Diceros bicornis minor: one gene and its partners. The protein of the gene in region 1 interacts with the protein of each later gene in a biochemical or structural test. Links are inferred from orthologs where the notes say so. Each region holds a gene or a part of one and is shown in the gene's direction. Other genes may lie near its edges. The genes, in order: SMURF2, SMAD2, SMAD1 and RNF11.

The links.
Region 2: the proteins of SMURF2 (region 1) and SMAD2 form a complex in vitro, tested with the Homo sapiens proteins (3 studies listed by BioGRID and IntAct, with this or other methods). The link is inferred for Diceros bicornis minor from reciprocal best matches to the Homo sapiens genes SMURF2 and SMAD2.
Region 3: the proteins of SMURF2 (region 1) and SMAD1 form a complex in vitro, tested with the Homo sapiens proteins (2 studies listed by BioGRID and IntAct, with this or other methods). The link is inferred for Diceros bicornis minor from reciprocal best matches to the Homo sapiens genes SMURF2 and SMAD1.
Region 4: the proteins of SMURF2 (region 1) and RNF11 form a complex in vitro, tested with the Homo sapiens proteins (3 studies listed by BioGRID and IntAct, with this or other methods). The link is inferred for Diceros bicornis minor from reciprocal best matches to the Homo sapiens genes SMURF2 and RNF11.

The regions. Positions count from the first base shown.
Region 1 is NC_080757.1:47,385,878-47,393,710, reverse strand, and holds the start of SMURF2 (E3 ubiquitin-protein ligase SMURF2), read left to right. Parts: upstream 1-4,823; 5' UTR 4,824-5,089; coding exon 5,090-5,141; intron 5,142-7,833. UniProt on the Homo sapiens protein: E3 ubiquitin-protein ligase which accepts ubiquitin from an E2 ubiquitin-conjugating enzyme in the form of a thioester and then directly transfers the ubiquitin to targeted substrates.
Region 2 is NC_080755.1:40,633,156-40,640,547, reverse strand, and holds the start of SMAD2 (mothers against decapentaplegic homolog 2), read left to right. Parts: upstream 1-4,386; 5' UTR 4,387-4,469; intron 4,470-4,787; exon of another isoform or gene 4,788-4,871; intron 4,872-7,392. UniProt on the Homo sapiens protein: Receptor-regulated SMAD (R-SMAD) that is an intracellular signal transducer and transcriptional modulator activated by TGF-beta (transforming growth factor) and activin type 1 receptor kinases.
Region 3 is NC_080750.1:34,663,958-34,671,323, forward strand, and holds the start of SMAD1 (mothers against decapentaplegic homolog 1), read left to right. Parts: upstream 1-4,350; 5' UTR 4,351-4,597; intron 4,598-5,421; exon of another isoform or gene 5,422-5,763; intron 5,764-7,366. UniProt on the Homo sapiens protein: Transcriptional modulator that plays a role in various cellular processes, including embryonic development, cell differentiation, and tissue homeostasis.
Region 4 is NC_080752.1:13,656,407-13,663,597, forward strand, and holds the start of RNF11 (RING finger protein 11), read left to right. Parts: upstream 1-4,184; 5' UTR 4,185-4,609; coding exon 4,610-4,732; intron 4,733-7,191. UniProt on the Homo sapiens protein: Essential component of a ubiquitin-editing protein complex, comprising also TNFAIP3, ITCH and TAX1BP1, that ensures the transient nature of inflammatory signaling pathways. Promotes the association of TNFAIP3 to RIPK1 after TNF stimulation.

The DNA.
Region 1 (7,833 bases):
GTGGGATGGTCATCATCCTCTAGATCACCACTGTTCAAGAGAAGTATAGAGTGAGTCACATTTGTAGTTTCAAATTTTCCAGTAGTCATATTAAAAAAAGTAAAAAGAAATGGGAAAATTAGCTTTACTACTATATTTTATTTAACCCAATATATCCAAAATATTACCATTTCAATATGTCATCAATATAAAAAATAAGATATTTTGCCTTCTTTTTTCCCATATTAAGTCTTCAAAATCCAACATGCATTTTATACTTGCAGCACATCACTAGCCATTTTTCAAGAGCACGATAGCCATATGTATTAGACTTCTCTAGATTCTAGAAGTGCTGCCCCTGGGTTGTAGGATCCAAGCTATAGGCCGGGTTGCAGGTGAGACTCAGTTCTGGAGAAGAACACAGGCAGGAGCAAGGCAGACAATCAAAGGTGTTTGGGGACGTGCTTAGGACAGACCTGAAGAGGAAAAGGTGTTCCAAGTGGAGACAAGTGAATGCAAGGGACTGGAACCCACTTAAACTTGCTTAAGTAAGGGGTGAGGTGGTTATTCTGCACAGTGAGATCCCTTGGAAATGAACTGTGAGAAGTCACACCTGGGCCAGGAGTACTGGCAGGAAATCTGTGAGACAATCACTTTCTTTGTTTCTCTCTTTAGGGTTATGAAGCCTCTTATCTCCACTTCTCTCTATTTTGTTAGTCTCTTTCTACACACTCATTTCCTCTCTCTCTCTCTCTTTTTTTTTTTTTTGTGAGGAAGATTGGCCCTGGGCTAACGTTCGTGCCTATCTTCCGCTACTTTATATGAGACGCTGCCACGGCATGGCTTGACAAGCGGTGAGTTGGTCCGTACCCCGGATCCGAACCTGTGAACCCCGGGCTGCCGAAGCAGAGCACGTGAACTTAACCGCTATGCTACCAGGCCGGCCCTCATTTCCTCTTTTTTTAATGTACTGGAACCTTAAAATGGCTTCCTCAGCTGCTAACACTATGACCTCTCAACCCAGCTCCCCACCGCTAACAGCCTCCCAGTATCTCTGTCACATATTCCAAGGAGAGAGACTCTGATTGGCCTCTTGATCAGCCACCCACCTTTGGCTCAGTTAGTTGAGGCCACGCTCACCTAACACAAATAAGGCCACCCAGGCTCATCCTTGATGTAAGGCAGTGGTTCTCAAAGTGGGTTCTCCCCACCAGCAGCATTAGAAATGCAAATTCATGGGCCCCACCCCACCCTGTTGAATCAGTATCTCTGGGGAGGGGGCCTAGGACACTATGTTACAACAGTAGGTGAGGGCAGATTCCCTCAGAAGGAGATGCAAGTAGGGACTACCATCTTAGTACACCAGGGTAGAGGCGGAGAAGGCAAGAGCCAAGGCGAATGGCACCAGGGAGCCCAGATCTGGAGAGACACAGGTCCCTGATGTGCCCTCAGCTTCCATCACCAGGGACGAGGTCTGCTGGGAGGGGGTCAGGGAAGGCGTCACAGAGAGCAGCTTGTAATGCAACCTAATCCTAAACCATGTCAGGACAGGATGGCACATGAGGGTTTTCAGTGAACCTAACTAAGGACCTGGGACAGGCAGAGGCAGAGAGGAAATGAGTGAAGATGGGGGAGGGAAGGAGGGTCAGGTTGACAACAGCAAGTACAGGGGGGGGCTGTGCTTGGCTGCTTCATCAGTTGTAAGCTGAATAGAGGAAGCTAGAAGTAGATATTAAATTAAATTAAATTCATGACATTTTAAACATTAAAGAAAGTTGAATTTTAAGCAGTGGTAGAAACTGCTGAGTGCCTGACGTTTGCTTTTTCCATGGCACATAAACTGTATTAAATCTGAAATTTACACTACAAAAATAGCTTCACAGGAGTACCATTATTAACATAACCTTACCTCAGACAGATTTTTTATTACTGGAGACAACTCTTCTATGTAAAAAATATATTAATGGCTGGAGCAGAAGAAAAAAACCAACTACAGATGGTAAGCATTTTCTTGCAACGTCACATCAGATTTAATATTAGCCTTGGAAAATAGAAACAAGTTTTAAACAAAAAGTTTTAAATATTCTTATAACCATGTGTAGATTTTCACCTCTAGTCTAGGATACCATCATAAAGAGTGCAACTTACAGTGATTAAAAAACATTAATGGAAAAGTTTAAAACTTTTGCTCAAAAATGTTATTTAATGAGTGGTTGTTAGCATTTTCATTGGAAGGTTCTTTTAAGTGGCATTTATGGAAAAAGACATATTTTATTGGTATGAAATAGGTGGAGTTAGTATATTTGAGACAGATGCCTAAAACAATGATTTGATAAAAGGTGCACAATTCTACCAAGAGCAAATTAGAAGTCATAAGGGAATAAAAAGCCTTTGAAAAGATTTTCTGCAATTCCCATACCCATTAGAGACATGTATAGGTACAATTTACCTTGGAAGTGGATTTCTATTTTAGGAAGAAAGAAAAGGGTGAATTCCCTAAGAATTGTTATTCCTCCCTCTTTTTCTCAAAAATTATGTCTAGAAGTGTTGCCATGATGAAGCAATGCTATACATCCAATGCTGAAATTTAATCTAATGAAAGTTTAGCTCTCCTTAACAGTATGAATGTTTTAAAGTATTATTCTTATCTGAATCTTTTATTTTAAACAATAAGATTTAAACATACACAGGCAAGCTTAAACAGAGTCCTCCCCTGCATATTAAGTACGTATACATTTTTCTGCACCATCACTTACATATCTGAATGTAGTGCTTTAAACTTCACAACAGGCAATCTCTCCAGCTTCCCCACACATTCTGAAATCCTAACTTTATTATCTAATACAAAGCTACCAATTATGTTAGTGGGTGGTTGGGAACAAAGGGCGTGCCATAACAATAAGGCAAATGTATACGTATATATCAATTTGCTAAGTTTTATTGCCATTACCCATCCAGTGTTTTAAGTTGTGATAGCAGCTACTGTTCAAATTGATTAGTGTATCTTCAGGGCTTCTGTAGTACAAAGAAGCATTTCTAAAGGACCTGGGTCACTGCTTTACACATGGGAGGCACTCAGTATTTGTTGAATGAATTTCTAGCACCATCCCCTGAATTTCTAGTCTAACTTCTAGCACTTTATATAATTTTTGGATCATTTTAATTGTAGAGCTGTATCCAGACTGACGGGATGCTCTTGGAGGTCACTTCATCTGGAGAATGAAGTGACATTACTGATGAATTAAAAGTAATGATTGATACTGAATTAGGATTAAAATATATTAGACTTTATTAAACATTTAAAATTGCATTAACAGCCTTAAGCAAAACTAACAGTACACAAAAAATCGCCTATGCTGTTACCCTTAGTTTTCATTGTGCTAGATACTTTTGCATGCATACATATAACTCTTCAATCTGCTTTTAAACTTCATTTGTAAACTCTTCCATATTATATGGTCTTCATAATTGCCATTTAAATGGCTGCATAAAAATCCATGCCAGGGGCCAGCCCCACGGGCCTCACTCCCCCTTCCCGTGCGTAGTGGTTAGGTTGCACCAGCTCTGCTTCCGCAGCGCAGGTTCGGTTCCCAGGTGCTGACGGTACAACACTCCCCCGGGCCATGCAGCGGCAGCGACCCACATACAAAATAGAGGTAGACTGGCACCATGTTATTAGCTCAGGGCGAATCTTCCTCAAGCAAAAAGAGGAAGATTGGCAACAGATGTTAGCTCAGAGCTAATCTTCCTCAGCAAAAAATAAATAAATAAAAATAACTCATGCTAATATAATATAATTCGCCATTAGACTGTTTGCTCATTCCTCCTTTTGTTATTTAACTGAACTTTGCAAAGAATATCTTCTGTATTACTGTACGTCAAGAATAAATTCCTAAGAGTGCAATTACAGGGTCAAAGAGTAAAGTACAGTTATTTTTATTTCATTTTCTGTTTTTTCCCCCTGAGATAAGGAAATACAGTACTGTATGAAAAGCTTTTCATACATTGCTCTCCAAGGTTTATCTTGTTCATAATCCTTTAAGGCATTATTATCATCCTCCTCTCCTTGTGCTACAGCTGGAAAAAGAGCCCGAGCAGGCAGGTAACCTGATCTCGCTCACCAGGTGAGTCCTGGATGGAGGTGGCAACTACGATACCAGGAGCAAAACACCCCTGGGGATTTGCTGGAATCCTCGGTGTGGGAACACCGTCTCTTCCCTCACCTCAGCGACGCTCAATTCCCTGAAGGCAGCGGACTCGGCTCTAACCTTGCCCGCCCCAGCCTCTCAGAGTGCCCTGCACGCAGTGGGCGTCTAAAAAATGCAGTCCGTGTTGCACGGACAAACGCTCTCCCTTAAGTGGGCTGGACACCAAGCCCCTCCTGGTGCCACAGAGCTCCGCGCCGCCACTTTGTTCCTTGGCCCGCTCCCTCCTAGACTCCTGCGTGGGACCCTCTGCTGCAGCCCACGCCCGTCCTGCCCGCCGGAGGCCAAGCGGAGCCCGGGCCTCGCGCCCCCGCGCCCCGGGCACCCTGCGCGCGCCCGCCCAGGCCCCGCCCGCCGGCCCCGCCCCGCCCCGCCGGCCCCGCCTCCCGTCTCCTCCCCGCCCCCCGGAGCCGACGAGTGGCGGCGGCGGCGGCCCCAGGACCCGGTTCGCTCAGACAAGAGGGCGGGTGGAGGAGGAAGCGGCCGAGCCCGGAGTCCTGCTGCGGCGCCGCCGAACACCGCCCGCCTCAGCCGACCAGCCCCGTCGGCTCCTGGGTCTCGCCGAGCCGAGAGGAGGGGAAGGCGGAGGCGGCTGCGTGGAGGCGGCGCGGGCGCGGGCGGAGGCGGTGCGGCCGGCCGCGGCTGCCGCTTTGTTGTGCGGCCCGGGCCGAGGAAGGAGAAGTGGGAGGAGGGGGGAGCTCGGCGTCCCGCTCCCTCCGCGGCTCATGGCGACGACGCTCGGCACATCCGGGACCCTCCTGCCGTGGCGGCCGCGGCGCCGGCTGCTCGGGCCCCAGCCCCGGCAGCTGTGGTGACTCCGCCGCGCCTCGCCGTCGCCCCCGCCCCGCCCGCCGGCCCCGGGCCCCGGGCCCCGCGCCGCCGCCGCCGCCCCCGCCGCCGGGGAAATGTCTAACCCGGGGGGCCGGAGGAACGGGCCCGTCAAGCTGCGCCTGACAGGTGAGGGGGGGCGGGCGGGCGGCGGGGTCCGGGCCGGGGCAGCCGCGGGGTGGGCGAGCCGGCGGGGGGTGTCGGTGGCCTTGGGAAGGGCCAGGGTCGCGATCAATGGTGAGTTGGGGGTCGGGGACGTGGGAAGGCCTAGTTCAGGGAGAGTAATGGCAAAACCACTCTCCCTTGTTTGGAAATTCGTAAAAAAGCCCAGGGTGACTCTGGGGTCTTTTGTTGAGGGGAGGGATCCCCCGGTTGGAATTCCGGGCGGATATGAGGTCGAAAAGCCTTGGCCGGGGAGCACGACTCTGTCCCGGGGCCTCGGGGAGCAGCCCCTGGGCTCCTGCCCAGGTGGGGTGGTCGAGGGGATGAGGAACTCCTGTGGCGGGGATTATTGAATCCGGTTGCCGACTGCGCGCAGTAAACACTCCTTAAAGATGGAGCGCTTAACGGGAGGGTGTGTGTGTGTGTGTTCCCTGGTTGGTAACTTGTTCGCCCACTTATGCCCGCGTGTAGAGCCTTCACTCTCTGCTGCCAGCCGCGGCAGCCGCCGCCACACACCTGAAACGCACGTCGTTGGGAGGGAAGGAGACTGAGGTTGACTTTTCCGGTGTGTCTGCCTGATCCGACGACTCGGGCTCTTTGTACACTCTGTGTTTTGGAAGTGTTTGATTGTAGGGTAACATGTAGAACAACATGGGTTGTTCCTTGTAGGCCGCAGAACTTGTGTCTCACTTCTAACTCTAGACCTGCTTTAAGAACACACTTTTTTTGGGTACATTTCTCAGTATGTGCTCATACAAACTTTCAAGCGAAATCGCTCTTTCCCCACTCTCCTCCCCTTCCCTTTTCTAAATGGAAAAGAATGTCTGGAGGGGTTGCTAGATAGAAGGCTTCTCTTGCAAAGTGTTTATGATTCCAAGTACGTTGAATCTTTAACATTACAGGTACGTTTTGCTTACGCTGCCATTTTTGGTATTCTTACATGGTCGCATTACCCCATTTTAGGAAAAAATTATTTTTCGTTTGAGAAGTGTAATTGAAATCAGTGTAGTTATCCTAGTTTCACCATTCAGTGTTAATAAATTATCCATGTTGATATTCGGATGTGTGGTGAGAAAGATGGTTTTCATAAGAGGATCTGTGTGTGTGTGGGTGCGCGTGTAAGAATAAACTATAATTATGTTTGCCTATACTAGACTTTAAGATTTATATGGACTAATTTTGTAATTGAATGCTTGTGTGTCACATCCTGGTCCGCTGGCTGAACTTGGAGATAAAAACTTGCAGCGAAGTTGGTATTTGAGAATTTAGCTTGACTGTATGTTGGCTGCAATTTAAAAAATATATTACTTTCACGACAGTTTTACTTTCCCTAGGGAAAATGGCAAAGAATCATTAACTGAGTGGTTCTTAATGGAAAACCTGGATTGGGGGATGCCTGTCTCCCCTATTTCCCCCAGTTTCCTTATTTTCTTATAAATCAATGAAAACCTTTATAAGGGATCTTTGTTGCTTTAGAGTTTATCTACTGCTGTTCCTCTCTGGAGTCAGTCCTGTGTCAGTGATCATGGAAAGAACCTGTGAGTCCAGGTGTGCAAAAAGCATCAGAAATAGGATGTTGGCCATGTACTTCCTTCTAGCCTATTCACATAATGAGAAAATGAAGGAAAAAACAGGGATTTTGATTTTCTGCAGATAAAATGAGTTTGAGATTTTTAATGTGACTCAATAGATCTTAAAGTGTTTATCTGTAATTTTCTTACTGCATATGATACATTATAAAAATTCATGAGTAAAGTTAGAAAAGATTACACTTATTTTTAGGGGGGAGAGGAAACACGACTAAATTTATAGAGTGATTTGGTATTTTTAGATTTTTCTGAGGAATTTTAAACACACTGTGTCCCCTTAATTGTAAAAACAGTTTGAGGTACTCTTAATTTCTTAAAACCATTGGGAATTTGTCTCTGACATATTTTAAGAGAAAACTATTTAAATATTAAAAACATTGCCCTCTCCCTTTTGGTTACATATGGTGGATTCTCTTCTGTTTTGCCAGGAAAACTAACATATATTTTTTCATTTTTGTTCATTTACAAATTAGATGGTATAGATTTTAACAAATAGATCTCAAGAGCTGGATTCAATTAGCAGCTTTTTAGGACATAAACATTAAAGGGTTAGATGGAAAAGATTGTTTTGACTGACTGGATAAATGACAGGGCTGTGTTTGATGTGTGTCCAGGAATTGGTCTGGAGCCGGTGCCCAACTTTTCAGTCCATCTTGAGAAGCCAAATAAAATATTTAACCTAGGCCTCATTTTGTTTTTAAAAAAAAAAAAAGCTGATTCTTTGTTAAGACCTTAAGAAATGTTTGGCATACCTTTAGACTAAGTGTTTAACAGTTCATTTAGATCCGGGTTCTATAATAGAGGAAAATCACTGAAAAAAAGGCAGATCCCACAGTGAATTTCTATTTGGTTTACAATACACTTGGGCTGTAAGATGCTTTAAAATTATTGTTCTTTGCTTTATGTTAATACCGTACTAGTATTTTAAATTTATAGAGTGCTTTTGATTCCATGGTGCTTTATGAACTATCGTTACTCAATTATATCTTTAATGTAGAGGTGCCCCTTTACTGAAAGGTGTAAACAATTCTTGTGTGATGACACACACACGCTCATACTCACACATACAT
Region 2 (7,392 bases), on another chromosome or scaffold:
GAGCAATTATGCTAATATGCTTGAAATTTTCCAAGAGTATTATACCTTCATACACTTATCTTGCCTAGCAGCACTCTGGTTCAGTCGATATTGTCACACACAGACAATAATCATCAAGGCATAAGGCCCTATTGTTGATATATGACTACCAAATTGTCCCCCCTTACAAGAGAACTGTAAACAATTTGTACATTGTTCTCTCACGGTTTAGACATTGGCCCGTTTAGTTTTTTTTGCAAAATATGTAGATGTCAGATAATATTTAAATACCTTTATGGGAGTGCTCATTGCACTGAAATTGTATTGTAATTTTCCAAGTAATATTTGAATAATCATTGGATTAGCTATCTAATGATCAACTGACTCACTGATTATTTATGCCTTTAAATACATGGACAAGAAATATAATATTAAGTATCAGACGCCTGGAGAATGGTGCGAAATGTAACTTGTTTTCACCAAATATTTTTCTCTCAACCAGAGCCAACTTCTCTTTCAATCTCTTTCTCTCTATAAATCTAAAAAACCTTACTTGTATGTCTTGTTTTCTTGAGGATTTTGGCCATAAAATAAGAATTTTCCAGCATGATCAACCAATGCTTTTATGATAGGCACAAAACAGATACCTGATAAACACTTGCTGAATTTAATTTTTTTCTTGTATCTACTTTATTCTTGTCTCCAGCTTTTCCCATCAGATGTTAAATATTTTTTTAATTTTAATAAAAACCAGCATGTGAATAAGGACTGTGTGTGTGTGTGTGTGTAGAGGCAGGTGTATACATCTTCAACATAAGTTCATTTAAAACATGAAATTCCATTGTAGCGAGATAAAAACCCAGCTGGTGTCGGAGTTCTTCATTATCATTTACGACAAAAGTAACCCCATACATTTGCTCTTTACAATTTTTACTTTGGTTATCTCATTTAATCAGTGTCCTTTCAATTGCAAATAACTGGACCTTTAAGATGTAGTAATGCTCACTACAACTTAGTTCCACCAGGATAAGCAAATATAGAGACTGGATGTTGACATGATACTCTACAGTTGTATTAAGGACGGAGCAAAGCTGGAAAGAATGCTTGCAGACCTATGACACACATTTTCCACTACACAAATGTTGAATTTCACCTTTCTTCAATTACTTAGTATTTATCTTAGGGTGTGCAAAGACGACTGACAACAAGATGCTGTCCTTGCCCTTCAGGAATTTACAATCTAAACGAGGAGACAAAACATACACACAAGTAAAGTTAAAAAAAAAAACCCCTCAAGACTAAACTAACAGATCAAGACACTAATCAAAGTGAAGTCATGGTATGTAAATTATTCCAACCATTAGAGAGCATTCATAGGATAGTGATATCCTTTCGGCTGGGGTAACCAGGAAAGGCTTTTCAGATTTATCAGAGAGGAGATGGAGTATGAGTTCTATCTTTTGAAAAATCAATACATGGATATATATATATATGTTTTTTTAATTCAAACTACAGAAAATTAATGATGAAATTTAAGTTTTCCACTCATGACTCCAAGGTTCTTTTTCTAGAAGCAACCACCATTATCATTTTTCTCAGGTGTCATTCCATTACATTTCACTACTTTTAAATGGATTCTGAATTGGTTTTGATTTAATTGATTTTGCAGTGTCATGCGTGATGCAGGGTTAAACTCGGTGTCTATCCACATAAAAATAAGACTCACTCAACATAATTCATACAGTAGGGACCTAATGATAGGTCTTGAGGTACCTTAGTGGATTTCCAAGTTGGTTGTTGCCACGGCAATCCTGCTACATCCACTGCCAGTTTCTGTCTTGACCCACTTTGGTTCAGATGCATTTCTAGCAGAGCGCACCGTAGACAGGCTCTGGTTCCTAAGCCCTTAGCACATTGCATTGGTAGCCAGATGCTGCTCCTCTCCTTCCTCAATCCTACAGATCCTGGAAGGCTTCCTAAATGGAAGGGTTAGGGACCCAAAGTTTGACACTTTGGAGACATGGTCTAACTTAGAATTAAGCATATTATCCACTGTATTAACGTATCCCTCAAAGTACCTAACTCCCACACTAGGAGCAGATTCTCCTGGAATTCTGGCTAGCCCTGCTTTTGTTTCTTCTCCTACTCACCCACATGGACACCCAAACGCACACCCTGGTCACATAGGAGAAAATATTTGTGTGACCCAGGGTAGCTTTTTATAGGCCATTTCATACTAAAACTGTTGACTTGTGTTAGCAGGAAGGACCAAAAACTCCAAAACAGTCTTTCTACTTCTAAATCAAACAGCCTTTGCCTTAGACCATCCTCCTGGGTGGCTCTGGGAAGTGGACACAGAAGTCTTGGGAGGTGTAACAGCTCCACCAATTGGCTTCCGGGGCCTCCTTCATGAGCTATTTTTAAAAAGCAGTGAGTAGAGCTGCCTCTAAACTGACAATGAAGAACTACCCCCGAGGTAAACTTCTGAAGGAAAAATTTCTGCTGAGTAGGTTCATCTTAGCATAAATGCATGCAGGCAACACAAGGGAAGAAACCATAACGATTATGGATTTTCTTTTAACTTCAAAGACTCGTGCTATTCACTTTCATATTTCTTATTTTACTTAATCATCCCACAACTATATTTAAATAGCTATCAGTGCAGGTGAGTTCTACTTGCCAATGACCACAGATGCGGAACAGAGCTGCATTCAAAACTACAATTTGCCTAACTCCAGGGTTCATGTGCTTCATCACAATCTTTTGATGAGAAAAGTACTTCCATGTTTGAGGAAAGAGATGGTGGAAATGAAGGAGATTTTGAAAGGAAATCTGGAAAACCTGTAAGACTCAGAGGATCGCTAAATCCGTCTCTCTCCAGGTCCATCTGAAGGCATCGTTCCCCGGGAGGCGTTCATTTCTGAAAAGAAAGAGGACACTTCAACAACTCTTACTGTTTGAAATGGTCACTTGGTACTTCCTGCTTAGTGATTTGTATTGCTAGTGCCGCCTTCCCGCTTGTTCGTCTTGAGTCCCCAATTAAATCCATGAAGAAAGGAGGTACACGAGAAGGAGTGCTGACAGGGAGGCAAGAAAACCGTGTTCTAGTCTTGCCTCTGCCACCAACACCTCTGTGAGACCTAAGTTTCTTTCCAACTTTAGTTCTATAGTGCTCCCTGCCTAACATAGTAGGTGCTTAATAAATACTTGATGTGATTAGTTGGGTTCAATATTTCAGCGAAGGCTTGGGTGTCCGTAAGGTACAAGCGACAAGGTTACCCGAGTGCGGTTACGCCCCCACCAGCTTCAGGCAGCCAGCAGCTTAGGGCCTTGTAGCGCAGACGTGGGAAGTTGGGGCTTAAGAACTTCGTCTGAACAGTGGAGAAATGAAGGAGAAAATAACCCAGCATTCACGGGGCATCGTGCTAGGCGCTTATCTTTCAGACTTCGCAAGGACCATCAGAGCATGCATGATTAACACCATTAGACAGAACCAAAATTCCGGTTAAACAAAAATACCTGGCATCCCCTACCCTGGCCCTAATACCCATAAAAGCCCCGCCCTGGGCTTAGTTACTTCTCGGACCTCGCCCCCATTAACCACCACCACGGCCCCGCCCACTCATTCGCATACGGGCGCGCCAAGTGTGGGTCGGGGACCCCGGCTTCTGCGGAGCCGCCTTCTGCCCTGACTCGTCCCGTCCTCCGGGCGGCCCCCGGGCCTCCCCAGGGGATGAGCACGTATCCACGCCCGGCTTGATTACGGAAGGTGGACCAGGCGGCGGCCCCCAACAGGCCGCACCCAATGGCGCTGGCGAGACACCGAGGAGGGGGCCCGGGGCCGAGGCAATGAGGGACGGGTGGTCGCCAGCGCCGCAGATTACGTGCCTTCCCCTCCCTTCCCTTCCCGAGCCTCTCGTGCAGCGCGCCGGAGACGAAGTCAACCGAAACCGCAGCCGTCCCACCCCGCCTCGTCCTCGGCCGCCGGGCCGCCCGCCTGCCCGCGCCTCGCCTCACGCTCTACGGGGGAGGCGGGACCAATCAGCGAGCGACGTCTCCCTTCCGATTCGAGGCCCCTGACGCGCGGCTCACACCCCGAGCACCCCGCGCGCTGATTGGTTGCCCGCGCCGCCAGTCCGGCGGGAGGGCGGGCCGGGCCGAAGGGAAAGGAGGTGGGGAGGTAGTAGCCCGCGACTCTCCGAGTCCCGCTCGCGCCCCGGCCCTTCCCGGGCGCTCGACCTCCTTTTTCCCTCCTCCGCTCGCCCCGTCTTCCGTGAGCGCAGAGCGCTGCGCTCGGCCGGCGTGCCTCGCGCCCTAACGGGCGGCCGGGGGCGCCAATCAGCGGGCGGCAGGGTGCCAGCCCCGGAGCTGCGCCGGCGAATCGGCGGGGCTCGCGGCCCGGGGTGGGAGGCGGGTCTACCGCGCGGCCGCGGCGGCGGAGGAGCAGCTCCCAGCCAGCAGCCAGCGAGCGCGGAGCGAGCCGCCCGGAGGTGGGTGCGCCGCGCCGCTGTGGCCGGCGGCGGAGGGCGCAGGGCGGAAGCGGAGGTGGGCCGGCGGACGCGGCGGCGGAGCTTCGGCTGTCCGGGCGGCCCAGGAGGTGGGGGGTGCGGGCGCGCGCCCGAGGGGAGGAGGGGCGGCGGCGGCGGGACGCGCGTCCCCACCCCCTCCTCCCCGCGGGCGGCGGCCGGGCCCGCGCCCCCTCCCCGCGCGCCGGGGCCGCGGGCCGGGCACTGGCTGGGGGGCGGGGCGGGAGGCCGGGCGACCGCGAGAGTGTTTTCAGTTCCGCCTCCCATCGCCCATTCCCCTTTCCCCTCATCCTATTCGGAAGAGGAAGGAACAAAAGGTCCCGGACCCCCGGCTCTGACGGGGCGGGACCCGGAGCCTCGGTGCAGGTACAGCCGGGCGCCCGGCGGGCCCCGGGGCCGGGGGTGTGTTTGTGTTGGGCTCGAGTCGTGAGGCTCGCCGCGTCACATGGCCACGGGCTGGGGGCTGGGGTGTGGCGAGGTCGGGGCAGCGCGAGCCCGGCCCTTGGGTGCGGAGCGCGGGGCCGGCCGGTCGGCCGGCGGGAAGGGGTCGGCGCCCGGAGCTGCCCGCCCGCCGGGCCCGGGGCCGGCTGTGGCCCTTCCCTTCCGCCGCCAACACACTTGGTAGTTGGTCCTGATGTTCAAAGCCGGAGGGACAGAGCTGTTGTTGCAGGAGTTGTTGGGGAGCCGTGTTACGAGCGTGTGTTGCTTTGCTTCCACTTTTTAATTTTTTTCTGGTCCTGTAACCTTTGTGAACCATTGTAGTCTCGGGGTTCCGAATTGCTTGTGTGTGCTCTCACACAAACACGCACACTGGTGCTGGTACTCTGTCGAGATTCTTCTCTGCTCACTTGTGAAAGTTGCTCTGTGAGTGGAGCCTGTTAGTTTTTGTCACACGCCTTTAGAAAGCACGCTAATTGATTTCACGTATTTCAAACTTCGGTTTCAAATTTGCAACTTTAATTGTTCTCTCCTGGGGGATACTGTCCTTGGGTTGGGTATTTTTGTGTTTTATTGACTTAACCCTTATGTGGTTGTGGTTTCCTTTTGATCCTAAACAAAAGAAAAACAATACCTAGGTTGGTTTTGGTATTCCTTCCTCTTGACCCTTTAAAAGCTAAATACTACCGGTTTCTTGTCAACTAAACCTTTATTTAAAAAAATCTCCATGTAAAACGAATTTGGAAGTAGTATTTTCTATCAGCGATGTCTTATTTGTTACAGTTTGGAGTATCCTAAATTTTGGTGTTTTAAACTTTTAAAACGGCACATGTAAAGTAATTGTTAATGAATAAATAAATGATCACGCAGACTTAGAGTAATTCCATCTTTCTAAAAGTGGTCCCTGAAATTTGAATTAATTTCTAGAATTCTGAGTGATTCTGTAATCTTAGTTCCTTTTCATTTTCTCGCTTCTGTTTTCATATGAATTGAGCCTGTACCACAGATTGTAAGGATGTTTTTCTTAAGCCTAAAAAGATGATAAATTTGCTGTCAGTACTCTGAAAATACATTTGCTGTCATTCTGGTTTTGACCTCCTTTTAAAAAAAGATTTCCTTACATGAAAGTGTAAATCAAATAGTTAAATGAAGTTTGAGGAGTTTTAACGTGACCAGATAAATAAGTGAAGCAAATAGAACAGAGATGGGAAAAATAATGTAGATTTCATAAATGTATTGTAGTTTGAGAATTTTTTCATTTGCTTAAAAAAACCCATATGGGATATTGATAGAATTTTCTCCACCAAAAGGTCGTTTAGCAAACATTTATATTAAATTCAGAAAGTAACGCTAATTTCGTTTTTAAAGTTCCTTAGTTTTTGCCGTAAAATTAGTTGTGGTAGTAAATAAGAATAGTTCAAGTGTGTGGGCATGTGTAAGGTAAGTGCCCCGTTATACTCTTAATGTTAAAATTAAATGAGTTTAAAGTAGTTCATTGGCCAATTTTAATTAATGTAATGTGACTGGGAACATCCGTTTCTGGGCTTGTTTTAGTAGGAAATTGCTCTTAAAGCTTGGTTTTTATACTTTGTAGCTATGCTTTCTAAAGTGATTTCAGGTTATAGGTGTTAAACAAAAGTTTGGTTTTTCAAGGTTGTAACTTACCTGTACCTAGTAATAAGTGTTCAAATCTCTACACAATCTGTAAGGTTCATGAAATAATAGTGTTGTAAGAAACTGCAGGGCAATTTCCTGTTGTTTGTGGCTTGTCAGGCTTGGTATGTGTTTTAACTCTTAAGAAAGAATTTGGGGATGGTTTTGTATATTTCAGCAGAAATTCTCTTTAATAGGAACAAAGGTTGTTTCTACTTGAAGGTGGCAAAAGGTCCCCTTTTCATTTTTGTATTATAAATATTGGAATCGTGTTGCTATAATCTTGTTGCTTCACAATGGGAAAAATATGTGAGTGAAAAACACTCTAGCTGCATAATCTGCTGATCAAAGACCTATTGAATTTTACCTTTTGCAAATATTTTCAGTTTTGGCTTTATAAAGATCTGAAAGCCCTGCTTATTCTTGTTTGGTTTTGATTCTGTTGGTTTTGTACTTTAGGGTTCCAAAGGCCTCGTTTTGTAGCAGCTTTTTTATACAGGTGTTTTTGTAATGCATATAAAAGCTGTATTTAGTGCAGTCTGGCAGATGGTGGTTTATTCATATTCTTGGGACAAGAGTCATTTTTAGAGGCTGGAGAGGGGCATGTCTTTTGGATTCCTTGTCTTTTGATGGGAGTAGAGGAGCCATTTTTAAGCTCTTAGTTTCTGTAAGAGGAAAGATGTTTTCCACTGAGTATTGCCAAGGTATGTCAGAAAATGTGAAATAGAAAGATTTCAAAACCAATTCAGGAGAGGTTATGCATTTATTCAACAAATAACTTGCATTTATTGAACAA
Region 3 (7,366 bases), on another chromosome or scaffold:
TAAAAGTTTTCTGGAGGAAAGGGTGTGACGAGAGAATAAGGATTTCAACATCAAAAATTCATAATTTATACCTTTCCCCCCACCATAGTTATCACTGGAACATTCCTTTTTAAGGCGAAGAATGCCACATCAGTGATCCTTGGCAGGATTCTTCCAGGGAAACTGATTCACTTAAATTCACTTAAGGAGCTGACGCACAAACCTGACATTACATTTATTTTTCCATTGATTAGAACCATCTCTCAAAATAAATTTTGGGGTTCACATTTTGAACCTATAAAATTTGCAGCCAATTTTAAGGGTTCTCCTTATTGTAAATGATTAGTAGTTGATTTTTTTGACAAATGGTTAATTTGTCAAATTAATTTGAAGCGTAATTAATTTGCCTTCGGTTCCTTGATACCTTCTTTTCTCTGAGAATCTTGTCCTCCTCCCTACCTCAGCCATCCACTTTATCTGGTCACACTGCTAGATCTTGGCATTATGCAAAATTGTCCCAGTTCCATGATTTCAATTTCAAGCGTCCTGTTCTCAGACCGTTCCCCAGCTTTTGGGAGGGGTTCCCAACTGAAGCAGTTCTTGGATCCCACTGGGACCTTCTATCCATCCATCTTATCACCTTTCCATCACCCCCCACTTCTTTATGTCCTCACCTTCCTCCTTATCCCAGTCCCCCCACAGTCACTCCCTTGCCTACACCCTCTGCTCTCTGACCCTCTTTCCTTCCATCACACCCACTTGCAAAACCCCAGCTCTGCCCCCTTAGGCTGACCGAGGCTAGAGAAAAATCCACAGCCGTGCTGACCGGTCTTGCTTTAAATTCATAACCACTAACCTCAAATGGGCACGTAATAGCACTGCCTGGCTATCCTACTACATTTCCGTAGCTCATGTGCTCTCAAACTCTCCCAGAAGATAACTGTTTGATATCCACTCCTTTCTCTTCCAACCTGCAACGTCTCTTCTACACTCACCATTCTCAGGAAGTAGGGTCCGTGGCTATTTCATCAAGCTAACAGAAGCAGAGAGAAGACAATGTCCCTCTGTTCCCACCTCTGCAGCCACCAGCCTGTGCGCACCTGGACCCACACACTGCCTTCCCTCCTGCAGTCGGCTCCTCCCTGCGTCAGTGCACTGGCCTTCTGGTTCTTCTGTGAATGGGTGAAGACGACTCAACTTCAAGGTCCTTGCACTTGTTCTTCCCTCTGCTTGGGAGGTTGGAAATCCTCCCCTGATCATGTAGCATGCTCTCTGTCTTCATTCAGGATCTCTTCTCAGTGACGTTTTCCCTACCCCTATAGAAATAGCAGCCTCTCCCATTCGCAATCCCTCTTACTTTGCTGTTTCCATCCCGTGTACACCACCTAGCATACTTGTGTATTTATTCATTATTCGTCTTCCTTGATGAGAGTGGGGACTTTTATCTGTTTTGTTTGCCACCATATCCCCTGTGACTTGAACAGTGTTTGATTCATTCATTCACTCATTCATTCATTCAACAGGTGTTTAGTGAGCTATTAGGTGCCAGACACTGCTCTAGGCACTGAGAGGTTAGCAATGAACAGAACAGACCTACACTTTTGGCTAAGTAGAAAAAGAATAATAGAACAGAATAATAGAATTAATAGAAATAATAAAATAATAATAGAAATAATAGAAAATATAAAAATCCTGCACTTTTGGCTAAGTAGTTAGGTAGTGATAAGTGAAACATCCATACAACACAGGGGAAGGAAGAGGATATAAAAAGTATGTGTTTGGGAGTGGTATGGGCGGGGGGATGTTAGATTTTAGGTAGAGTGGCCAGGGTAGGCCTCATCCAGAGGGGAACCCTTGAGGGAAGACCTGAGGGAGGTTAGGCAGAGGGCCATGTGCACATCTTGGGAAAGGCTTTCCAGGGAGGAACAGCTGGTGCAGAGGTCCTGAAGTGAGAGTATGCCCAGGTTGTTCCAGGATTTGTGAGGAGGCCAGGGTGACTTAAGGAAGTGAGCAAGAGAGAGAGTAGGTCAGAGTGGTAACGGAGGGCAGGGAGGAAGGATCGTGTAGACTCTTGTCCACATTGTGAGAACTTTTATTTTGAGTGAAATGGGAAGTCAAGGGAAAAATTTTTTTTGATATAATGATAATAATATACAACCCAGGGCCGGCCCAGTGGCTTAGCGGTTAAGTGAGCGTGCTCCGCTTTGGTGGCCCGGGTTCAGATCCTGGGCGCGCACCGACGCACCGCTTCTCCAGCCATGCTGAGGCTGCGTCCCATATACAGCAACTAGAAGGCTGTGCAACTACGACATACAACTACATACTGGGCATTGGGGGAAAAAAACAGAAGGAGGATTGGCAATAGATGTTAGCCCAGAGCCGGTCTTCCTCAGCAAAAATAGGAGGATTAGCATGGATGTTAGCTCAGGGCTGATCCTCCTCACAAAAGAAAAAAAAAAAATACAACCCACATTCCAGTTTTCACAATTGTCCCAATAATGTCCTCTTTTAAAAAGTCCAATTTTTTTTATTACTATTTAAAGAAATAATTTGCACAAGGGGCAAAAATCAAATTTCATAGCTTGCATAGTATTAATAATGATCATTTGTAGCTACGAGGACTGCACTAAGAAAGGTCACCTATAGGTTAAAAAAATTAACAGTTTTATAATGTCATTTTATAGCTTTTCCACTCAATCCTGGATCCAATCAAGGATAGTACACTACTTTTAGTTGTCATACCTTTTTTTAACAGCTTTATTGAAATAAAATTCACAGACCATATATTCACCCATTTAAAGTGTACGATTCAATGGCTTTTAGTATATCCACAGAGTCGTGCAACAATCACCACAAACTAATTTCAGAACATTTTCGTCACCCCAAAAAAGAAACCCCATAACCTTTAGCTATCCCCCTAACCTCCCCATTCTCCCAAACATAGGTAACCACCATTCTACTTTCTATCTCTACAGATTTGCCTATTCTGGATATTTTATATAAATGGAAGCATACAATTTGTGGTCTTTTGTGTCTGGCTTCTTTCTCTAAGCATTATGATTTCAAGGTTCATCCATGTAGCATGTGTCAGTACTTCTTTTCTTTTTATGACTGAATGATGTTCCCTTGTATGGATAGAGCACATTCCACTTACCAAGGGAAGGTTTTGAGCAGAAGAATGACCTGATCTGAGTGGCATTTAACAAGGCTTACTCCAGCTGTCGGGAGCAGAGAATGATGAACTGTGTCAATGCTGCTTTTAGGGAAAATAAGATGAGGCTCAACAATTGACCAGGAAGTGCTCAAATAGCTTAACAAAGAAATTAACAGAAATACTCTGATCTATAATTGGTATTTCATGTGTTTTATGGGATTTGTTGCATTTCCTTTGAATAATTAAACATGGAATGCAGAAATAAAATAATTAATAAACAAGAATTTAAATGGAATGTGGACATGTAAACATACAGGAACAATTGGAGAGTACCATTAGTTTACAGAGGTCTTTGATGTTTTCTTTATATTAGTGGTAATGATTCTTTTGGTTCATGTGAAATTTACTCCTCAGAATAATTATTTGTCTCTAAACATAACTCAACATTATGGTAATTATCCAAGATTTCATGCCAGGTTCCAGGGAGCTGGCCAGGAGAAAATGTAATTCTTACAAAAATATATTTTCACCGTCTATGCAGATCAGGTAGAGAAGAGCTAGTCTGTTTTTAATTTGAGGGGTTGGTGTCATCTAAAAGATTGCAGAAATTGGATAAGAAATTTAGAGTTCTATTGTGGCATCTGTCATTATTTTGAGCAACGAAGTTACCTACTCGACTCAGATCCCAAATTGGCGCACAACCCATGTATTGATTCAGGGTTTGGTATAAGCACATGCAATAGTTACTAGCTATTCAATTCTGGGTACGTGCAACTTCTGGGGCTTGCAAATCACTGGGGAGTGAGTGAGGGGCAATGAAAACGAGACATAAAAAGGCGAGGCTCGAAAGACAATTGTCAAAAATGCGCTCCACGTTTGTAGTACGGTTCGGTGGGCGCGGTGGACGTGCTGATGAACATTCCAGATAATAAACACTGAGCACAGAACTTCCCTCGCAGATAATGCACCAAGTCCGCTCCACCGGGACTAAAGGAGGCAGGGGGAGGAAAGTCGGAACGCGCGGAGTTGTTTTTGCTCGTTGGAATAAATTGGGCGTGGGGCTGGGGGCGGGGGAGGTGGCTCGGGCCGCTCGCCCGCGCCGTCCTCAGGCCCCGCTGCGCTGGCCGGGCCGGGAATTTGGAGAGGATCCCTGGTCGCGCGGCGGCGGCGGCGCGCGGGTGCGCGTGTGAGCGGGCGGGCGGGCGAGTGCGCCGGGTATTGGCAGCCGAGGAGTGGAGGCTGGGCGGCTCCGACTCCCTGACGCCAGCGCGACCAGATCAATCCAGGCTCCGGGAGCGAGCGGGCGGAGGAAGGAGAGGCCGAGCGGCTCAGCGCGGGCCGAGGCGCAGGGAGGGACCCTGCGAGCGCAGCGCGGCGCAGCGCCCGGCGGGCCAGCCCGGGGCCGCGGGACCCCGCTCGCCCCGCCACTCGTGCCCCTGCGCGGACGGGCGCGCCGCCAACCCGGTAAAACGAAACAGACCCGAAACCAACTTTCCTTCTGCCGCGTCCCCGCCCTCCCCTCGGCTCCCCCGGCTTCCCAGCGCCGCCGCCTCCGCTGCGGCGGGCGCGGGCCCGCAGGGCTGCCGCGGCCGTGCGGCGCCGGGGGCGCGGGCTGCGGCCGGGAGGGTGCTCTTCCCCGTGCGGGGCGGACCGGGACCCCCCCCCCCATGATGGCGCCTCCGGCCGCTCGGATGAGCGAACCTGCCACCTTCTCCACCCCTCGCGCCCAGCCCGCCCGGCAGGGCTCGGCCGGGGTTCCCCGCGCGTCTTTGTTGGGTCTGCGGTGGGGAAGCCGCGTTCCTCGGCCCCGGCCCTGCCCGCGGCGGGACCTCCCGGGTCCCCTCCCCCTCCGCCCGCGCCCCGTTTCTCTTTCCGTTTCTGCAGCCGGCCCGAGGCCCGTCCGCGCGGCCCGCGGGCCCATTGTGTCCCGCGCCGGCCCGGGCCACTCTTGCGGGCGCCGGAGGGCGGCTGTCGGCGCGGCTCGGGACGCGCTCGGCGCCGCGCGGAGCGGGTCCCGCACGAGCGGGACACCTGGTGCCCTGGGCCCCTCCGCGTCCCCGACGGGTCCCCTTCTCTGCCCCAACGAGCCTCTTGGGGGTGGAGGTCAAGGAGAGTTCGCACTGAAATTCCCTCTAATTTATTCAAAGGTTTGGCGGCGGCGGCGGGTAATTTTTTTTTTTTTTCCCCTCTTCCGCCTACACCCCCCTCCGTCTCCAAGTGTCGTCTCATTCCTTTCCCTTGACCGGATTCGATTGCCTCACTGCATGTGCATTTGTGAGCTCGCGGTTGAACAAGTGTTCCTTGACTCGGCTCCCTGTCTTTGTTAGTGTTTCTCGGGGTTGTTTCTGTAGGGAGGTGGGGGTGGTGGGTGTGAGCGAGACAGACGTGGGCTTGTTTTTCTGGTTGCTTGATATATATGAAGGCTTCCTGGGAAAGCGTTTCCTTGATGGACTTTAGGAGGGAGGAGGAACAAATGCCTGCCGGATCGTACAACTACAGTAGCCGCGGCTTTTGTTTATTTTGAGGCGCAGACGATTTTTAAATACACGGTGCAAGATAACCAGTAAGGCGCTTCCCTTCTGAAAATCGAGGCGCATCTCAGAACCATCTCCTGAGAAAGCATCGTTTTCGTGAGTGCTGTGACAACGAGCCTTTTTCTTTCCCCATATGTCCTCCTCTTTCCATTGTATCTGAAGTTTCAACGTCTGTGAAATGATACAGAAGTTGCATGATTTCTGTATGTCTTCCTCTTGCTGAAACTTAGCAGCTAAATCACAGAATGCCTTAATTTCAGAACATTTCTCGCTCTAATTGCCTGTCGTGGAGAGCATGCCTGCGTTCAGAAACACAATGAGAAAACTGTTCTCTGCCTGTGTTGATTTTTCATCTTGTTCATAATTACCACTTTACGTTTTATTGGAGGTAGGTGAGGTGTGTTGGAACCACTGTTTAAAAAGAATGGAGGCAGAATCACTGTTCACTGCCCCAGCGTTTTCAATTAGTGTAAATATTTTGCATCATTGTTATTCTGAGGTAGGTGCCAGGCCTAAATATGCTGTACTGATTAAAGTACTTTTCCTCCCCCCTCCCTTCCACCCTCTTTTCCATTTGCAGTTATTTGATATTTCTGTGCAGGTGGTGCACATTTGTGTAATATTGCAATTCTTAGGAAACTGTAACCAGGGTCGTGAGAGATGATTTTTCTAGAGGTGGGTGATGCCAGAGCCTCTGGAGGATCCAGGCAGGATCAGGTTTCTTCTGAGGGTAGGGATTTGTCCTTCATTTAGTTCTGACTCCTCCAACCATAGGTATGTAACTAAATACATTTTTCCTTTTTGCAGTATCCTTTGGTTTTATACCCTTGATGAGCTGATGACCTTTGCATTTTAGAGAAATGACAATTTTCAGGCAATTAAAAATGTTAACCTCTTACACCTCTTGGAATTTAATTAATTTTTGCTACCTAAGTTCATTAAAGCATTAAAAGGAAGTAAGTCTCATTTTCCCAAATACATCTATTAGTTAAAAACTAAATTTCAGTTTGTAATTTTGATTTCTAGTAATCCTGGGTTAAAGGTAAAATTTAATAACAGATTGTAAAAAGAATAAACTTGAGTGTAATTAGACGAGTATATTTTAGCTGCAGTCGCCTACACAATCAAGGCCAAGTTGTGTGTGTATAAAAGATCTCATTTGTATAGTCTTACAAGGCTAATGGAGGCATCATTGGGGTTTATAAATAATGTAAGTTGTGTATAATGTAGAGTCTCCAGAGACGGCAGAGAAAGCATCATTACCAGCCTTTTCAACCTGCTTGAGATCTTAAATTGATTTACGGCACTGAACTGGTGCAAAATGATACATCAGGATGACATGGGGTCAGCCTGTAAAAGTCTATGATGTCAGCCTATTAGTTCAGTCATCATAATTAAACCATATTACAGGGGCAGCTAAGCAGGAGTCTGGCGTTATACTTCAGATATGGGTGGTACATAGTTTTTGTTTATAGTGGAAAAGCTGAACTCGCTGGGAATGATAGTGTTTCTAAAAGAGGAGAAGGCTTACAGAACTCTGAATTTTTCAAAAAAAATTGAAGATAAACTCAGAGATGTTCAGTCTGCATTGTCTAAATAGCTTTCCATTTGGTAGTGGAGAAACAGATGCTCTGGGGGTGCTGATAAGGACCTTTGCAGCTCTGATGCGTGTCCTGAACCATGCTTCATGTGATCTTGA
Region 4 (7,191 bases), on another chromosome or scaffold:
GCTATTCCCAAATAAACTCATTTTGAGGGTAAAATAACAGGTGAATTTGCTTTTAAGTTGACATAAGTGTATCTTACCACAATTAAAAAAATGGAAAAAAAAAACCCTGTACACAGATGTTTATAGCAGCTTTATTCATAATTGCCAAAATTTGGAAGCAACTAAGATGTCCCTCAGTAGGTGAACGGATAAATAAACTGTGGGACATCCAGAGAGTGGAATATTATTCAGCGCTAAAAGGAAATGAGCTATCAAGCCGTGGATAGAGCTGGAGGAAACTTAATTGCGTATTACTAAGTGAAAGAAGCCAACCTGAAAAGGCTACATACTGTATGATTCCAACTATATGACATTCTGGGAAAGGTAAAACTATGGAAACAGTAAAGAAATTAGTGGTTGCCAGGGGTTAGGGGTGAGGGAGGGATGAATAGGCGGAGCATAGAAGATTTGGGGGGCAGTGAAACTATTCTGCATGAGGCTATAATGGTGGATACATGTTATTATAAATTTGTCAAAACCCATAGAATATACAACACTGAGTGAACTCTAACATAAGCAAGGATTTTGTGTGATAGTGATGTGTCATTGTAGGTTCATCAATTGTAACAAATGTACCATTCTGGTGCAGAATGTTGATAATGGGGGAGGCTAGGCACGTGTCGGGGCAGGCTGTATATGGTAAATCTCTATACCTTCTCGATATTGATGTGAACCTAAAACTGGTCTAAAAAATAGAGTCTATTTTTTTAAAAATGTGGCTCAATAGAAGATACTGGATTCTCATATCTGCTTCTGCATTAGATCTCCTGCTGTCAGAGAAAACCAGAGCCAGACAGAAGTTAAAGCAGTAAAGGCAAATTTTATTCAGGAACTATTGCAATAGGGGAAGGGAGACCTAAGTATAGAACTGGACTCCATTCTGAATACAGAAAGGACAAGTGGGGATTTATGGGCAAGGAACAGGGTGGGAGTCAGTGGATGGAAAATCACTAAGAGGAAACATCAGGGATAAGGGGAATTCTGGTTAAACCTACTTGATAGGATTTTTGCTGAAGGCAGGCCAAGGTGGTCAGATACCAAGGATGGAGGATTCTGGCTAAACTGACTCAGCTAGATTCTTGCTAAAACTGGAATAAGTGGCAAGGACAGAGCCCAAGGTTAGGGCCTTAAGGGCTTAGAGGAGCCCACCTGGAGTTAGGTCATGGAGAGTTTTTGTCACTGCAATAGTCCTGGTTACTATTTTCAATTTTAAATTGTGTTTTGTGAGTAGGTCATACTCTCTGGTCTATAGGGCATTTCCCAAGGGCTCCTTTCTAAAGCCCGGTTAGGAAAAAAGATCATTGAATAGCTACTTCCTTACAAAGGTACTTGTGGATGCCAAAGGCATTCAAGAGAAGTCTTCTCCTATTTCCTTATTTTTACACACTGAGGGAGGAATATCAGGATGAAAAAGACATAGCCCCTTCCCACAACCTAATAAAGGCAACTGGTATACGATTCAAATCCTGGCTTTACCCCTGAATAGCCATGTGAAGCCATATTTCTATTTCCGTAAAACATGAATATCAATACATACCTTTCAGGGCTCTTATGTGTCTGGCTCAGGCTGACAAATAGCAGTTATGATTATATATACTAAAAATTGTGTTAAAATATTCATACATGATATATAGATATACGCAATATAATACAATAATAGATCCCATTTATTTTGTATTGTTACATATATTCCAACTAAGTGAAATCAAGGACAGCTACATGAAGAAAGTGATATTTAAGGAAGGTCTTAAAAGATGGCTGGATTTCAATAGAAGCGAACAGCATGGTAAAAGGTCAGAGGTGGAAAAGTATAGGGAAAATCGAGGGCATGGCAAGCAGAGTGATGTGGCTGGAGTTAGGATGCCTGGTCGAAGTCGGAGTCAGAATCACACAGGAGGTGAGGATGGGACGAAATGGTGCAAGGCCTTAATGCCATGCTAAATTTCTGAACCAAAAGTCTATGAATGCTCTCTGATCACACTTTTCATGGCAATAATGTGGAGAATGGATTGATGGTGCAGAGGCAAGGGTTTCATTAAGAAGCTGTGGCAGGGCCCGGCCCCATGGCCTAGTGGTTAAGTTTGGCACACTCTGCTTCAGAGGTTCAGGTTCAGTTCCTGGGCGCGGACCTATACCACTCGTCAGCAGCCATGTTGTGGCAGCGACCCACATACGAAAAATAGAGGAAGATTGGCACAAGTGTTATCTCAGGGCAAAAATTCCTCAAGCAAAAAGAGGAAGACTGGCAACAGATGTTAGTTCAGGGTGAATCTTCCTCAGCAAAAAAAAAAAAAGAAGCTGTTGCAATAGTTCAGAGGAGTCAAGGAAAATGGCAATGGGGGAAAAGAGGCAAATGCCAGAAATTTTCCTCCCAAAGGATCCAATAATTGCACTTTTCCAAGCTAGAGAATGAAGCAATGATTCTTGATGTATGGAAGACTCTGATATAAACCCAGCATTAGGGATACACCTATTTATGTGGGAGCTATTAACGGGAAGGAAGGCAAGTCTAGCAGAAGAGGGCATACAGCAAAAAGGCTATATTTAATATGGAATATGAAAGCATTTAAATAAGTGATTTTGTAAAATAGGGACGTTTCTATTCTACAGTAGAACAGAAAAGCACTCAGGCCCATACTAGTTTAACACAGTCCTACCTCCAAGAATCCTCTCTGATTCTCATCCAAATGATCTAATCACTCTCCTCTGGGCCCTCTAAAAACCTTTGATGACGGGAGGCAGAAGGACTCATCTGTTTACTTGTCTTACCAGCTGGACTCTGGGCTCCATCAGGAACAAGTCAGGTCTGGTCAATCAGTTTCCCTAGTGCCTAGCATAGGGTCTGGAGCAAAAAAAAAAAAAATCAGTAAACGGTGAAAAAAAGAAATGGAGTCAAGACCAACTTCTTGTCTTCTTGTTGAATGAATCACTCTTAGGAGCATTCCCATCCTTCTTGTTTCCTTCCTTTGCACACATTGCTTCTTGAGCTGTTTGTTCATTCAACCCAGAAGAGAGCCTACTCTACCTTAGGCAATGTGCCAGGCTTTGCACAAAAAGAGGGACAGATGATTCAGCTTGATCAGGCTGTGGCAGAGAAAAGCTCAAGGACTGAGAGCACAGAGGAGGTGACTAACCCAGACTGGAGGGTTAGAAGAGCCTTCCCAGGGGAAATGAAGCTGAGTCCAGGAACGACAAGTGGGAATAACAGTTAGCCTGATGGGAAGTAGAAGGCTGCGAGTGGGGAGAAGTGAGTTTCTGTCAGAGAAACAACATGGGTAAAGGCTTCAGCCAGAGGGAACAGTTTTCTAGATAACCGAAAGTACTTTATTTAGACAGCCTAGAGTTTAGAATAGGTGACGAGGCAATGCTGGTAATGAGATTGGGGAGGTAGTCAGATTTGAAAAGCATTTAAGAATACTTATAACAGTATCGGGAAGCCATTAAGGTTTTAAACAGGGGAGTGACATGATCAGATTTACATTTTAAAAAGATAATTCAACTGTGCAAATAGTGGATTGGATGGGGGCAATGGCGAATGCAGGGAGAATAGCTGAGAGTGTTGCAGTAGTGTGGGCAAGAGATAATGGTGGCTTGGACTATGGTGGTGGGAATGGAAAGAAACAGAACAATCCCAGATATACAACTGGAGGAAGAATCTCTCTGGTTGTGACGGACGAGGATAAGGAAGTGACTGGAGACAGAGGGGAAGGTTCATTAGTGAGCTTGGACTTTATTCCGAAGGGATAAAGGGGAAGCCAATTAACATTTTAACCTAGGGAGCGACAGAATCAGATATGGGTTTATAAATAGATCACCCGGCAGAAGGCAGTGAGAAGCCCGTCAGAACAGTGCACAGGTAAGAGCTGAGGTGAGTGGAGAAGAAGAGTATATGGGAGGCGCGAGAGACCGAGAGAGGTTTCGGAGTCAGGTACCCAGTCAACTGTCAAAGAAAGAAAGAAACTGACGCAGCCCAGGAACAGCTGGGAGAGGGTGGGGGTAGGGGGGTGCGGCCGCGCGGCCGGAGCTGCCCACGCCTCCCGGCGCCGGGGGCGGGACCAGAGCACGCAAGGCGGCATGACGCAGGGCCGCAGCTGGCCTCGTTCTGGGCGCCGCCGCCGCTTTGAGGCGGAGTAGGATGAGGCCCGCGGCCGTGGCTCCGGCGTCGGCAGGGGCAGCAGCAGCTGAGGCAGCAGCTGAGGCAGCCGCGACGGCCGCGCCCCCCCCTCCTGACCTGGATTAGGCCCAGCAGCTCCGTGGCCGCCGCCGCCCCGCGGGGGGGCGGGGTGGGGAAGTGCTTCGTCTCCCCGCCCCCCCCGCCCCCCATCGCCGCCTCACGGGAGGCAACCGCCGCGACCCCGGCGGAGCCGGTGGCCCAGCCTTGAGCCCCCACCCCCGGGGACTGGCATGAGCGGCCCTTCGGCGGCGCCGGGGGGCGGGGGAGCCGCCGCCGCCGCCTGAGCCCCGGCCTGCCGCCCGACCCCACCTCGCTGACCGCGGCTTACCGCGAAGCGTGCGACGACCCCGCCACTGCTTTCTTACTCCCCCAGATCACACACCCCAGCTCCGGAAGATGGGGAACTGCCTCAAATCCCCCACTTCGGATGACATCTCCCTGCTTCACGAGTCTCAGTCCGACCGGGCTAGTTTTGGCGAGGGGACGGAGCCGGATCAGGAGCCGCCGCCGCCATATCAGGTAGGGGAGGGTGTGTATTTGGGGAGGAGGGGGTGCGAGGAGCAGAAACAGCTCCAGCCCAGATTGAGGGGGCTTCGGGGCTGTCACTGCCCCTGGCCTCGGCAAGGCCTGGCCTGGGGGGCGTTGACCCCCTTAGGCCTGGATCCAGGAGTGATTGCTCCCTACTCCCAGAATAGAGGGGATCCTTCACCTCTCCCTCGAGCATGGTGTGGGGATGGTACCCTCTGTCCTTGAGTTCTGGGATCCGAGTATGTGATCATAGCCCCTTGGCCAGTGACTGGTGGTTAGCTTGTGGAGTTTGGGAGTGACATTTTCCTGCCTTTATGCCTGAATCGTGGAATCTAAGCTGTGAGGTTTGGGGATGGTTTTCTTATCGCACCGGCAGCTGGATTGTGAGTTCTGGATAGGTGGTTGCCCCCCGCCCCTTTAAATTTTCATGTGTGATCGTCGTGTCCTGTCTCCCTCCTCCCCTCCTCCCTTGTCCGTTTGTGTCAGTTGGATCCGGTAGATGTTCATTTCTCCTTCTACTTGGGAGAAGACCTTTAAGTGGTCTTCAAGTGATTTTAGTCCCAGCGACATCGAGAGTTACTTGTTTACTTAAATGTATATATTAATTTTTAATCCCTCCTCCTTTTGCCCCACCCCTATGACACACCTTTTAATCACGCTGACTTAATAAAACTTGATTATCTTGAACTTTGGAAACCTTTAAACCTAACTTGAGAAATACCTTCTGTTACTCGTTTGTCTCCGTATGTAGCAGACTTCCTCCTAAATAGTTTCATTGCTTTTTGTTCAACAATCAGCAGCCCCAGATGTGTTTACACAATTAATAAAGAGCTAAGACCTCTTGAGAAACCTCAAAATAGATACGTAGATGTTATAATCCGTAATATATATAAAACCTTTTCCTCTGCTTTTTCGATTTTAAATGATGTTGATTAAAAACTTTTTCCAGAAGGGCTCGGGTAGTTAAGTGGCTTAATGTTTTTCCTGAAGGAGGTTTAGTTTTCTAACTAGGCAGTTTCCTTTGTTGTTTCATGTGGTGACATCATTATCTAGTGTTATTCTTTTCTCATTCTTGTGTAAACCAGTGTCTCATCACACCAGAAAAACCTGATCACTTTTGCTGGTTTTCTGGATAAAACCCTTCAGGGGTTTCATATATACCAATGAAGTCCAGTCTTAACTGTGTCATACAGAAGCCTCCGTGACTTCTCTCACGTTCGGTATTCCAGGCCTACCAAATACACCAGCCTGTTCACACCCCTCTGCCTTTGCTCCAGTTGCTCCCTCTGCTTGGAGCCCTTCCCCCAAGGTCAGCCAGGTGAACATCTAATCTTCTTTGAGGACTCAGCTCTCTTGTGTCACCTGCTACCTGAAGTTCCTGTATTTCCCTCTCTCCCCCCTGAATCCATGCACTTCCTTGTTTGTGTCCCCCCCCCCCGAACCCTCCCTCTACGCTTCCATGAGCAGCACATATAACACTTGAGTGTTTATCCTTGTTTAGTTAGATGTATGTCTCATCCTTGGGCATTTCCCTCCTCCCTCAGTGTAAGCTGCATGCAGGTGGAGACCCTGTGTCTCCTGTTTGCTCTTGTATCCCCAGCATCTGGCTCACAGTAAATACTCAGTAACTCCGGGATAAGTGAAGACTATAAGCCCTTGAGAACAGGGTCTCTGTCCCCAGTGCTTCCAGCAATTTGTGGAATATAAGAAGCACTTAAATGTTGAATGAATTAGTGAATTTGAATTCCATCTTATGTTTCGTAAGTTTACACACCCATTTCTTACAAAGAATTGTCACAGGGGAAGTCTTAAAAAATCCAAGCTAAATCTGGATGTCTTTCCACATCTTTGAAGCAATTGAATTGTATTTCACTCTTCGTTTCCCTCATAACGTGCTTATTTCAGTTTCACGAGCAAATTTTTTTAGAGGTATGAAATTTTATTTCAAAATCTCCTTACACGTTCCCTAGCTCCTTTCCAGACAAGTTGAGTATCTTTGATTTATTGCCCTCTTTCTCTTATCCTTATGATAATATAGTGTTAAGGATAACTCTTTAGAATTTATGGGAAGTGTATTTGCCTTTTCCAGGAGGACTAGATGATAAGGAGAGTTTTGTTGTTATCATGAAGGAACATTCTTTGAAACATGTTATTTGTGACAGTGGGATTTTTTTGTGGTTGCCTTTTCCTGAAGTGAATGACCCAGATACTGATATGCAAATTTGGTATCAGTTGGAAGAAAATAATTTCTTTAAAAGATGGTAACATAAAAAGAAACTTTTGTGGAAAAAATTTTGTCACCCCTGAAGGAAATAAATTCTTAGGAATGATTAATTTACATGATCTGAAAAACACCAATCTAAGGTAAATGATTTATATTTTCAGTGAACAGAAGTAACTTATTTTTTCTTCAGAAATAGTATATAATTAACAGAGCTGCAGGAGTATTG